Linked DNA regions of Drosophila melanogaster. The main gene of each other region encodes a partner of the protein of the gene in region 2 in a complex. Each region holds a gene or a part of one and is shown on either strand. Other genes may lie near its edges.

Region 1 (3,761 bases), on a different chromosome or scaffold from region 2:
ACTTAAATATTATAATGAAATCATCTTATGTTTAATCAAAATACTGGTGCTATCTTTAAAATTAATTAGACTTTCAACATTTAGGTCAAATAATCTCCCCAAATTCTTTAATGCCGGCTGATAAGAAAGAATTTAAGTGAATTATAATGTAAAAATATTTATTTAGGATGTGATCTATCTCTGAATAACTTGTTATTTTTATGAATGAACTGTCTACGTTTTTAGCTTCACTTGTCTGGTTAATTTCTCATTTCTTTATATACTCTGTTTGTTATTTGTTTTTGGAAGCACGAGAACGTGCCCTATCGTCCATTAACGGCAAGCCGGCTTCTGTGATATTAATGCAAACAAAGCCGAAGGGGGCGTAAAGTGAAGCTCGATAAGCGGAATTCTGGACCGAAAAGAGCCAGCAATGGCGACAAGTGGGGAGCACGTGGCCTTGTCTTTCTCCATCTTCTTAACTCTTCAGTTCTGAGTTAAACTTACGCAGCACTTCCGCTAGGGGTCTCCTTCTGCAACTCCGATGTGAGCAGGGCTTCGATCTGGTGCTCCACCACCTGGCACAGGTACTCCACTCGGTCTCCATAGATCTTGCCGCAGTACTGGAGGGCACTTCCTGCGGCCACGATGGCCGATCTTCGAGAGACATCATTTCGTCCTAAGCAGTGGCGCAGTAGCTCTTCAATATACTGAAAATATAAGCAATGTATTTGAGGATCTGCAGGCTTTTGTGTTCACTGTAAATAAAATAATAGATTTTCTTGAAAACCCATTTATATAATTTTAGTTAAAATACCAGTTATCGAGGCATGACTGTAAAACCCACGCACGTTGCGTCACACTTTTATTTTGATCTTTCTGCTCTTCGGCGGTTTTGCTTATCTTGATAATAGTGGTCTTCAACACTCACATATCCCAGTGATATCCGTAGGTCCGTGGAGTAGTCCGTGTTTTTGGAGAGCTCTTCGAGGAGGACGACTAGCGAGGCCAGGTCCTGTTGCTCATCGTAGGCGCGGATGCACTTGGCCACTTGGGTTCCCGGCCGATTCTTGGCTATTTCCAATATCTGCTCCCGCGCTTCGCTCAAGTAGGCTGTGAATTAAATAGAAACCGATTGGATTTACTTAAGCAAAAACCACACACCCAATCGCAGATCCGCTTTATTGTTTATTTCGGCCCTCCCCATACACACACACACACACTCGCATAGAAGCACCAACACACGCGGTATACTGGAAATAGCGCTGACTTAATCAATGGGAAACGAAGATCACGCCTGGGGCTGTCCTGCGTTGGTTACCTAAGTTCTGGATGCTTACCCGCTTCCGCTTCTTCAGGCAAAATCCGCTCCATGGCTCACTAGATGACACTAGGAAAAGTTTGTTTTATGTCCGGTTTTGCACATTTTACTGGCATCGTGCACAAGCACTGCAAGCACGCACACACGCTGAGTGGGGAAATCAAAATGGTGGAGGCAGCACGGCTTGTCTCTTAGTTGGGTCCAGTTATGTTATGGTTTTACGTTTTGTTTTCATTTCTTTGGCAGGAACAGGAATATTGGCGCGAATCGGTGCTGGAACAATTAGCTATTCACATCAAGATATATATGTGTTTCTTATTTTGTTGTGCTCTACCGACGAATGAGGGAAGAGACGGAGAAAAATTGCTATGGCAATGCTGTAGGGGGTGCATGCAAGCATGGTCACCTTTAAGTTATCGATAGCTAGGCACGGTGAATCATTTATTATTTCGAGCTCGATTAATATCTAATTTAATTTTTGTAATTGTAAATTATTTGTCAGTGTCTCAAAACATATTATAATAAATTCTGCTTATTATTGCATTGTCTAGCTTCAAACCTCTAGTGTGCTCATTTTTAAGAAAACAATTTGAGTGATAGTGTCATCACTATCGTGAGTGATTCGCCTGTCTCAGGTGCCATCACTTCTTCAAAACAAAAATCATTTATTATTTTTGTATTTCCGCACTTGTTAATCTCATAATGTCCAACCAGGAGACCCAGGTTTCCAGCCTGCCGATGCCGCCGGAGCGGTACATCGCCAATTACACGGACGAGAATATCCGCCGCAACCGAGCGCCACGCCCACCGCCGCCGCCGGCGCAGCACGAAGTCTATAGCATGTTTGGCATCCAGTACAACAACGACGAGATGATCCGCAGCTTGGAGTCCCAGAATATTAAGCGACTGATCCCCATCCATTTCGATCGGCGCAAGGAGCTCAAGAAGCTTAACCACTCCCTCTTGGTCAACTTCCTAGATCTCATTGACTTTCTTATCCTGAATCCTGACAGCCCGCGGCGCACGGAAAAGGTGAGTCAATTGACCCATTAAAATGTAGCATCTATTGTATTACACTCATTTGATATCTTAGATTGACGATATCAGTCTGCTGTTCGTCAACATGCATCACCTCCTCAATGAATTTCGCCCACATCAGGCGAGGGAAACGCTGCGCGTCATGATGGAAATGCAGAAGCGGCAGCGCGTTGAGACCGCCGCCCGTTTCCAAAAGCACTTGGAACGTGTGCGCGAGATCGTTAATACCGCCTTCTCAGCTCTGCCGGTTCTAGATGATGACGACGATAGCGGCGGAGCAAAGATTAAGACGGAGGTGGATCCGTTGGAGGCGAATGCGGCGGCCAAGAATGATCCCAGTTACCAGCACGATCGCATGTTGTGCAAGCTTGTGGACGCTATCGAGTAAGCTGAGTTGGCAAAAGACTGGACATCGACGCTGGAAATAGTGTCAATCATTGTGAATGGCTTGGAAAAAAGAGCTCCTCATATTTATAACTCCTTTTAGTATAAGAAATAAAACCCCAATTGTGGGATGAGAATCTTGCACGTCTAATGAGTAATTCATTCAATGGGAATTAATGTGTTAAGTCATCTTTGAGATAAGCTTTACACAGATAAGATCCGAGATAAAGGCTCATGATTAAGCATCCCACAAATTTCACCATTAAAATGACGTAGTCAGCGTGGAGTAATAATATAGTCAAATGTCATAAATTAATAATCTATCTAGAACAATTTATTCAGGATAGGAATAACAATATAAATGTATATATTTAATTGTAAAAATTGTAAAGACATGTGACATGACATGAGACATGAACACCTCACACGTTTTCCTACTTTTAATGGGTGCTACCGCATGGCATCATCGTGGCTAGCCGAAATATGCTCGTACAGTGCGTTTCATAATGTACATATACATATGTGGTTTTAATGAATTTGTATGGAGTTTCATCAAAATTACTAATTTTGTTTGATAAACATGATTAAAAAGTCAATAGAGATATTCATTCACAACTGGAGTATAATGTTTTCCCTAAAATTTTTTTAACTCACTGTGCCCTTTACAAAATCCAACGTGTTTTTCTAAATAAACATGGTTTAATACGTTTATTAGCTTTCTTAGATTGTAAAGCCCGCGATAAGAGAGATGTAGTTAAGTGAATCTTCACTTTTATTGAAGTAATCTCCGATAAAAGGAGGTGCCATGCGCTCTAGATGATCATTTCTCGTGCAGCATTGCAAGTGTGCAAGTCGGTTGAATAGGAATATTTTGAAAACCCTTAACTCATTGACTTTGAACTTAATTTTTTAAAGAACTTGTGGTTGCGCTTTTTAATTAAGAACTGCATCGTATTAATTGAACAATCAATTTCAAGAGCAAGCCGATTGTGAAAACCCATGGTGACAAACAGTAATAGCTAAGATGTCGGAAAAGAAT
Region 2 (4,186 bases):
CATATACCTACTGCGAAGTCGCACGCACCTGGTCCTAAACATGATGCAACTGCTCACATAGAAAGAAAACGAAACGCTATTCACAAAGTCACCCTCGAAACAACTTGCTAAGATTCGTAATGTTTTTGTTCATTTATTGAATGTGTTTACTTTGTAGTTTTTTGTTTTGAGTTGTAGTTTTTTTGTTTGCCAACGAAATTGCATTCCGTCCAAAAATGCTGGTCAACATTTTGGTTTTATTTTTAGTTCTTTTCAGTTTTACTCCACTGACCCGCTGTATAATTGAATGTACAAAACAGCAGTTAAACGTAAATTAGATTTTATTTTTATTGCTGAACAAAGAATCTTCTGCCACACGTAGCAGACCACATGTAGCCACCTAATGTATCTTGTAAGTCGTAACGAACCGTACTATGCCTTATCATAGAGCGGGCTCCAAGTGCGGAATGAAAAAATCAAACAATGTGTCTTTCACAAAATGCCTTTAATAGATTTTAGAAATCATTAGCGAATGTATCTTGACAAAAGTTTGCAAGCATATCGAATGGAAATTTATCTAATTTGTATTATCTAACTCTTGAATACATTTTTAAACGAAATGAAGTGAAAATCGTTGAAGAAACCGTCCAATTAATTTATGCAAATAATGAATCTGCATAGTTTGTAAGTTTTATACGTATATACGCCTTCATATGAACCACAATTAGTTTATAAATTCCCAACACAAATCTCACATAGCCATGTACATGAAGCTACTAAGCGAGAAACAAGGAAATTTTTGTACACAACTTAAGAATGTCGCTCCTTTCCGTACCATAAGAATCGAATCGAATCTCTATGAAGTGTCTTGTGTTTTCTTTTGTAATAAACGAAACCTGAAAATAAATAAAAGTAATGTTTATCCAAATGTGTTTTCTTTTCATGGAATGTGTTGGTACACTTCAGAATTTGTGGATTTGAATATTTTTCCCAAATTCCAGGAATGGGTACAAAAATGTATAAAAATTCAAATTACTTACAAATTTATTATTAATTCAAAGAATAGAATGAAATGGATTACAAGACATTAATATATAAAAATTTATTTAAAATAACAACAGTTTTTTTTAAATAAAAATTAATTTGCTTAGTAAGGCCAAAATAAAATCTTACAATTTCTATGAATTTACCCATGGAAATTATTAATTAAGTTGTTTCATTTCACATTTTATACTAAAAAAGTTAAGGTAAATATATTAAAAATATTGTAGTTATGGAATATAACTAAGCTAAACAAAAACATTTGGATGTGTAGAAACAACTACGTCTTGCGAAAACTTAGTAAAATAGGTGATATCGCCTCCAGGCAGTCCATAATGTCCTTGCGCGACTTGGCGCCCGTAAATACAACCTTTCCGTTGACGAAGATCAGGAGAACGATGCGCGGCTTGACCATGCGATAGATTAGGCCTGGAAACATCTCCGGTTCGTAGGAACTAAACTGCCCGTGCACGTGGTTGAGGTTCTCCAGGCGGATGGGGAAGCGCAGATCAACGGTGGCCACAATATTCTGCAGCTTGTATTCCATGAACTTTACGGGGAATCCCAGCTTCTGCAGGATGCGTGCGAACTTTCGCGATCCAATGTCCGCCTCAATCTCGTTTCGTGCACCCGTGCAGATGACCTTGCCCGTTCGAAAGATTAGCGCTGTGCACCTGGGCGAGTGCATTCGCATGATGACGCCACGAAAGCGCTTGGGCGAGTACTCCGAGTTCCTCGTACGCGAGTTGATTGCCTTGAGGTCCAGTTCACAGTTCACCGAGAAGGTGGCCACGATATTCCTGCAAGTTATGGATGTATCAATGGGTTTCTATTTATTTCATGAAGTGCCTCTGAAAAGTGGTCAACCAACTGCAATCGTATCTCATGTTGTGCATCCTTGGGCTCCACCAGGGCAACGGGCTGTTGCGGCTGCAGGGCTGCGTGCGGATTGGCGGCAGCATTGCTGGTCGCAGCCACATTATCCCTGTCCCTTTCAGCGTCCGCGACTTTAAAGTGAAACTGCATTGCCGAAAATTATAAACAAATCCGCACGCGACGTGGCCAGTGTTGTCCTATTTTATTGCTGACGAAAATTGTATGCCGGTTTGGTATTTTTATTTGTCTAACTTTTCTCATGACTAAAAAGTCAGCACTGGTCACACTGGACGCTTTTAGCTTGCAAGACTTGTAAACAAAATTAATAAAACTAAAAAGCTGACATTATTGCATAAACTATGGGAGTAACTATCCTTCAACCGTATCCCTTACCCGAAGGCAAATCGGGTGCCCACATAATCGATCAGCTGAGCAAGCGTCTGCTCGCCCTGGGCGCCACACATGCCGGTCAATTTCTGGTGGACTGCGAAACGTTCATCTCGACGCCACAGCCGCACAATGGAGCACCTGGACGCGCAGTCCACGTCCTGCACAACTCCGAGTATCCCGCCTCCACGTTCTCGATCATCGACAATGGCACCGGCAAACAAGTGGCCATTGTCGCCGACAATATCTTCGATCTGCTCATGCTCAAGATGACCAACACCTTCACCTCCAAAAAGCAGACCAAAATCGAGTCCCGTGGCGCTCGTTTCGAGTATGGTGACTTTGTTATCAAACTCGGTTCCGTCACCATGATGGAGCACTTCAAGGGCATCCTCATCGAAATCGAGTACAAGTCATGCGTGATTCTGGCCTACTGCTGGGAAATGATACGCGAAATGCTGCAGGGATTCCTCGGCATTGCTGTGAATAAGGACTTTCCCTCCTATTTCGCTCCACAGACAATAATGACGGCAATGGGGCAACAGCAGCTGCATGCCAAGCACAACGACATCTTTGAGCCAATGGACACCGTGAAACAATACCTGGAGCAGTTCACCAACTATAGGAAGCATGTGACTCTTATGGGCGGTATGGGCAGTGGACCGGGTAGCCAACAGGTTGGTCCGAACGTGCATATGTCGCCGGCGGTGGCGGGACTACATCGATCCTGATCCGCCGACGTCAAGCTGGAGCCACCGGATGAGCCTGCAGCCGATTAAGATGTTTAGAAGATAATTTAAACAAAAAAAATATACATATGTCACTAATATTTAATAATTAAATAATCATTATTTTAAAGCTAGCATCACTAGTTTGCTTTACATATTTTAGACGAATAAACAAAACATTTATTAGCTTGTCCAAATACGTTTAAAATATTATAGTTATATATATATATATATATATATTTTGTGCAGTGTACAGTTTTTTTCATATATTGGTTATTCACTACTTTTTTATGTATTTTTAAAACAGCTGATTGGAATAATGATTAAAGCTGTGTGGTATCCCTGCTCGCACGGCATTTTACCGTTAATGAAATCTGGCCACACAGTAGGCCGAGTACTCAGTACTATCGGGCAAATTGACGAGATTATTTAAACAATAATGTCGGCCCACAGCGGCGGAACGGATTGGAATTCCGTTGTTAAAGCCCTGATACTTAACCGTACAGGAGCCTTAAACAAGAACGAAGTTGTTAATTTGCTCAAAGCTATCACGCGATGGTAAGTACAAACGATCATCTAGAACTTTTCGCCTACCGAATGGCGTAGTGAAAAATTTTCTGCTAGTGCAAAAAGTGACTTGCAAAATTAAATATGGCCGCTCCGGTGACGAAATAGCAAAAAGCTTTGAAAATTCTTTAATATCGAGAACTAACAACGCTCTATTCCGATATTTGCATAGCGAACATGACTTTTTCGAGGAGGAAAGCAATTTCACGCAGTTTTACACGGCCTTTGCGGCCCTGGCGGCGGACAAACTTATGCAAATCAAGACAAGTAAGTGCACCCTAATGATTTTTCGCCAAATGAAAACAAAACAAAGAAATGTTTGGCCAAGAATCGAGTGATTCACTTGCGCCAATTCGCGTTCGCTACATTTATCATCTTGGTGCTTTTCAGTTTGCCAGACGCAGATTTGTCAGTTGCACGATGCCACCGCCGTGCTTATCCGGTTTATTATCTATAGACTGCCCAGGGTGTCCGTCTACGAGACCAAGTGGCTCCTGGGCGCCCTCAAGATGCTCTGCGAGGGCCGGGAGTGCCCAGCATCAGCGTCGTCATCCATGTTCGACTACAATGCGGTGGCTAATGTTCTTAAAAGCTGCAAACATCCCGAG
Region 3 (4,956 bases), on a different chromosome or scaffold from region 2:
TTTTGAAAAGTGTGGCAATTTGTGGGCGTTAGAGAAGCGTTGGAGATGAGAAAATCCAATTGCGTTATAAACACCCTCTGCACTGAGCTCAAAAAAGCTGGAAGCTGAAAATATTCATTTTAAAGAGGTGGGCTAAAGAAATTGGTTATTTAAGTTATTGGTTTTTTAAGTGCGGGCAATCGAAAAAAAAAATTTGTCAAAGGTTTTCTTAAGGGTGGGAAAACGATAAAAACTAATAATAATGGTTGGGCAAACGTTTTTTATTGATAATATTTAGTTTTAAGAGATGGTCAAACGCTCTATTCTCTGAATAGACCGAGATTAACTTGAATGTCTTATATTTTCTAAAGTATACGTTTTTTCAAAATTCAAAAGTGTTGGCAAACGATGTTATTGCAATTTAAAATATAAAATTTTTGAAAAAGTACACTTTTTGATTATCGAACTTTTTTGAAAATTCAGATCTCAAAGACTGGACGTGGACAAAAAAAAACTAATTGGTGGGCACACGATTCCAGCTTTCAAATTTCGAAAATTCCATTTTTCCGAACCCAGCTTCTTTGAGCTTCTGCAAGGATAGACACAAAGACAAATACAATTGAATCATACCCGAATCTGTTGTCAGAGCGGCCTGTTGAAACCCGTCGCTGGCTTTTGCACCAAATCTTGTATTTGTTGCGACCTGTCCTTCTCTTTCCTTACTTCTTTTTTCCTTTTTTAATTTGCGTTGCCGTGAGCTTGGTGTAGATGGTATTGGAAGTGGCGCAGGAACAATTGAGTTTAATTTTTTTGGATTTAACGAACCGTTATTGTCATTCTCATCGGAATCCGAAGCTATGTCAATAACAACTGAAGCTTCGTTTATCTTCACGGTGCTGTCATCGGTCAAGTTAATCACGGAATTTACCGAATGATCTATGACGATGGGCTGAGGAGAGGCCACGTGGCAACTTCGGATGGAATGCGAATGTCGCCGATCCTTGTGAGTATGCAATGTCGTTATAGCGATGTTTTCGTGGCGATCGCTATCTTTTATACTATTTACAAGGTTGGAGAAGTTCGGATGAAGTAGGGTATGTTCACCCGAAAGCGGAGGCTCCGCAGAGTCGATATTTGAATGCAAATCTGAAACTATTTGCTGCGAAGGAGCAATTGGTTCTGTAATAAAGCTGGTGATAGGGGACTTAACCAAATCTAATGCTGGTTGTGAAGATGAAATTTGACTGGGATGTGCCAAATTTTCAGTGGCTGTTTGCTGAATTCCTACCATTTCCCGCCACTTTTTCAGCAAGGATTTTGCACGTCGAGCCAAATGTTCATTCTTAGTCCTTCTTCTGAGCTGATTTATGTACTTAGCCAATCTGGTGGCCTCCAACTGCTCCTTGGTGATAGTTGTACCCTCCAATGCACATATGACACAGAGAACTGCGTCCATATTGACGACCTGAAAAGATCTTTACATTAACTGATTTGTTGATAAGGTAATACGTTTTCTTACATCGTAGTTTTGATCAAGTGCCTGGGATAGGTGAGTAGTAAGTTCCTGTATTTCGATTTGGTTCATTTATATCTTGCGGTGCGTAAATATTGCCCTGATCCAGATTCAAGGGACGGCGAAATGCAAATACTGTCCAAGTTAGAAAAATAAGGAAAGTAATAGAAAAGTAAGTAGTAGGTAGAAAGTAAAAAGTTATAGTGTATTCACTTCACGTTGTTGCAAAATAAATACTATTATAAATAGCCGTAAAATTGCTATTAAGTAAAGTTTAAAGACCCAGAAGTTCAAAAATTTTAATACCCGAGTTAGTAGCGTGTCTGTGAAACACTCATACCAATACAAAACGTGTATTGCTCAATCGTTATGCTTACAAATATGCACACTTCGAATGTAAAGTCTGTGCTTCCTGAGCGCACTTCCTTGAATATGAAAATTTGTATTTGTCCAAAATAAGGAAAATTAATAATTTATGGTTGACTTCCCGACTTTATTACAATTCGCCATTTTTACCAATGACAGCTGCACTTCAAGGGTGGCAGAAAATCGATAAGTATTTAACAATTATTATCGATATACTTTCACGTGAATTTCTTTTAACAGGAAGGCCTGATCATACTGCTATCAAACAGAATTGAAGAGGAATTGTATTATATGTGACATGAAAACCTATAGGAGTATTATATAAAGTAAACGTCCATTTTTGGGCTAAATGCGTGAATCTCAAAATGAAAAAAGGGTCAAATATACCAGACCAGAAAATGAAGGTTTTGTTGCTTTGTGGTTTGGATATTTTCCCGTTGTCCTATATATTTTGTAAAATATAAAACGATTTCGTAGATTCTCCGTCCAGTTACCCGCTTTACTTAATATGGAGAATATTAAAATATTGTTTGTTTTTTTACCCTTAACTTATTTTATTCGGACTAGCAATGCCGTTTTTTTTTTGTTAAGGATATATAAAGATTCTTAAACTCTTTCATTTCAATGCGAAATATTTGAAAAAAGTGTGTATATATAGGATTTGTACAAAACAAATGCTCTCGGTGTTCTTCAAAAACAAAAAACAAACAAATGGCTTACAATTACCAAACCCCATAACTTGGGTTAAGGGATCATCTCACAATTGAAAAAAAGTAAACTATAGTACTATCCTTCAGCACCAAAATCGAGTATATATTTTTTTCTTATTGCAAAACCTTTGGAAGCCTTTTGTATATAAGAATATATTTTACATTTAATAAGCAACAGAAAAAGAATATGTTTAATTTTTTATATTCACATTTTACCACAGCGGCTTTTTTTTTAATATGTTCTATAATATTATTCTTATTCTGAACCTCGAGCAGAAGAGATTTTATTGACCTTCCCGTCTAAGAACTGAGCTACCCCATGCTTATACTGTGTTTCCGTGTTTGACAAAAACCAAAACTGACTGTGTCCATATATATAGTGTAATTGGAATATAAACGGTTAGTAGTACTAAATTAGGAAGAATGCTTGTCCGATCCGTTCACACTGGTAACGTTAGAATACCGGAGAAAAACTATTATTACTTAAAATGCTAATTAAGTTTAAAAAACATTTTTGTATTTCAGTACAATAATAAAAAATTTAATCATCTCCGCTAGTGAGCAAAATTCAAATATAACGACAGTGACTCTTCTGCATATAAACTTGAGATTTGCAAAAATATAGATGCATCAACTTCATAAATTCACACTTGGCTGGTTTGTCGCTCTTACCGAAATATCCTGATATATTCCTTTTGCACATACATAAATATACTTATATTATATGTCGTTTTTAATACATACCCCCACATTAATCACACTGCACATGGTCTATTCAAAGCCATATAAATAACAAGATGCGTAACGGCCATACCAAAGACACTAGAATAACAAGATGCGTAACGGCCATACATTGGTTTGGCACTATGCAGCCACTTTTTTGGTGACGGCCAAAATTGCTCTCTTTCCGCTCGCTCACGCTGAGAACATAAGAAATCTAAAAATAGAATTTGCTTGCTTGTGTGAGTAAAAACAAGAGACGGGAACGCGTATATGTGTGGGTGTTGTGCTAGAAGACGATTTTCGGGCCGAAATCAATTCTGATCAAAGAAATGAATTTACATTGTACATATTAGGGTAGTTTTTTGCCAATTTCGTAGCAATATGATGAAATAAAATAATTTTTAAAAATTCGCGCCCTTCTTATTATAATTTTAAAATTTTAATTTTAATTTTAAAATTTTTTAATTTTAAAGCTTTTTAAATTCGTTTGTTAAAATCGCCGCTCGAATTAGCTACCGTTTACATATTTATATTTATGTTGATAATTATTTATGTGTAATATGTGTAATAGTCGGTACCCAGGGAACACTACGGGGAGGCCATTACAATTGTAATGGGGTCTTATATTTACGTATATGACCTTCGAGTCGACTTGAAATATTTTAATGTTTAACATTAAAACATTTCCATATTCCCCAATTAAGTTATTTTTCTAACTATTGTTTTTTATTATATATTGCTCGATTTTTCAGTCGTCAGTTATTTAAATAACGCTCATTTTTTTTATTCATGAGATAGAATGCTGAGCTTAGCTTGCTTTTTTTGTCTATCAGCTATCACAGTCCACTTACAATGCTTAAAAAGCAAAACTTTTATAAGTTTGTTTAAAAGATCTGTTCTATGTGCATAACATTCATTATTTTCATAAAACCATAATGGGAAGGCACTACTTTCATTTGTGCACTTAATGCATTGCTCAACAATAAATTTTTTTATACACATTTGTTTTTTATTATTTTTAAAAATATTTTCGAAAGCTTTAATGTGTATTTTGTAAATATTAAAAAATAAATCAGATGGTGCCCTTAATTTCCCGAAGTCCGATTCTATTGAGTAGTTTTTCTCATGTATAAAAAGCTCTGATGGAGCTGTTAAATGCTCGGTTTCTTTTAAAATTACCGATCTGCATTTATCGCAACTGGATCCCTTAGCAATATATCCAACAAAATATCTACTGGAAGTTAATTCAATGGGTACATCATTGCACAAAAAGTTATCTATATTTTGGTCAAAGTACCTCTCATTGTCTTGCACGATTTTGGAAAATGATACAGAGTATTCTTGTTGCTGTATTTCTTTTTTTTCAACGAAAGGCTGATATATTATCGAATCGAACTCTATTGGCAACATAACATCATCATCTGATTCGCAATTCGACTTTTGTGAAAATTTAAAAATGTGTAGAGATATGAGCTTGGCAATTATTATATTAAATTCGTTAACTGAAGGATTTCTGCAGTTACCACCTTTTGCTCGAACGCACGCAAATATATTTTCAAGGGGATCCTGGTTAACTCTACTAGTTAAAAAGAAAAAGTGGTCTGTGTGATCCTTAAAGAGATCTTCGACGAGTCCAAATATAGCTTCAGTAGTTTGGATCAAGCC

What was found.
Region 1: MED20 (region 2) and MED7 share a complex: the UniProt entries of both Drosophila melanogaster proteins name them as parts of the mediator complex.
Region 3: MED20 (region 2) and MED26 share a complex: the UniProt entries of both Drosophila melanogaster proteins name them as parts of the mediator complex.

The regions. Positions count from the first base shown.
Region 1 is NT_033777.3:10,759,175-10,762,935, reverse strand, and holds MED7 (mediator complex subunit 7), read left to right. Parts: upstream 1-1,903; 5' UTR 1,904-2,002; coding exon 2,003-2,332; intron 2,333-2,393; coding exon 2,394-2,726; 3' UTR 2,727-2,865; downstream 2,866-3,761. Other genes in the region: Cap-H2 (chromosome associated protein H2), read right to left, coding at 487-689, 911-1,092, 1,320-1,353; CG31272 (uncharacterized protein), read left to right, coding at 3,747-3,761. UniProt on the Drosophila melanogaster protein: Component of the Mediator complex, a coactivator involved in the regulated transcription of nearly all RNA polymerase II-dependent genes.
Region 2 is NT_033779.5:8,070,831-8,075,016, reverse strand, and holds MED20 (mediator complex subunit 20), read left to right. Parts: upstream 1-2,168; 5' UTR 2,169-2,255; coding exon 2,256-3,014; coding exon of another isoform or gene 3,015-3,062; 3' UTR 3,063-3,205; downstream 3,206-4,186. Other genes in the region: Mcr (macroglobulin complement-related), read left to right, coding at 1-61; Trf (TBP-related factor), read right to left, coding at 1,301-1,820, 1,892-2,046; poe (purity of essence), read left to right, coding at 3,451-3,569, 3,751-3,845, 3,969-4,186. UniProt on the Drosophila melanogaster protein: Component of the Mediator complex, a coactivator involved in the regulated transcription of nearly all RNA polymerase II-dependent genes.
Region 3 is NC_004353.4:785,583-790,538, forward strand, and holds the start of MED26 (mediator complex subunit 26), read right to left. Parts: upstream 3,397-4,956; 5' UTR 3,313-3,396; intron 2,033-3,312; exon of another isoform or gene 1,870-2,032; intron 1,628-1,869; 5' UTR 1,565-1,627; coding exon 1,499-1,564; intron 1,445-1,498; coding exon 610-1,444; intron 1-609. UniProt on the Drosophila melanogaster protein: Component of the Mediator complex, a coactivator involved in the regulated transcription of nearly all RNA polymerase II-dependent genes.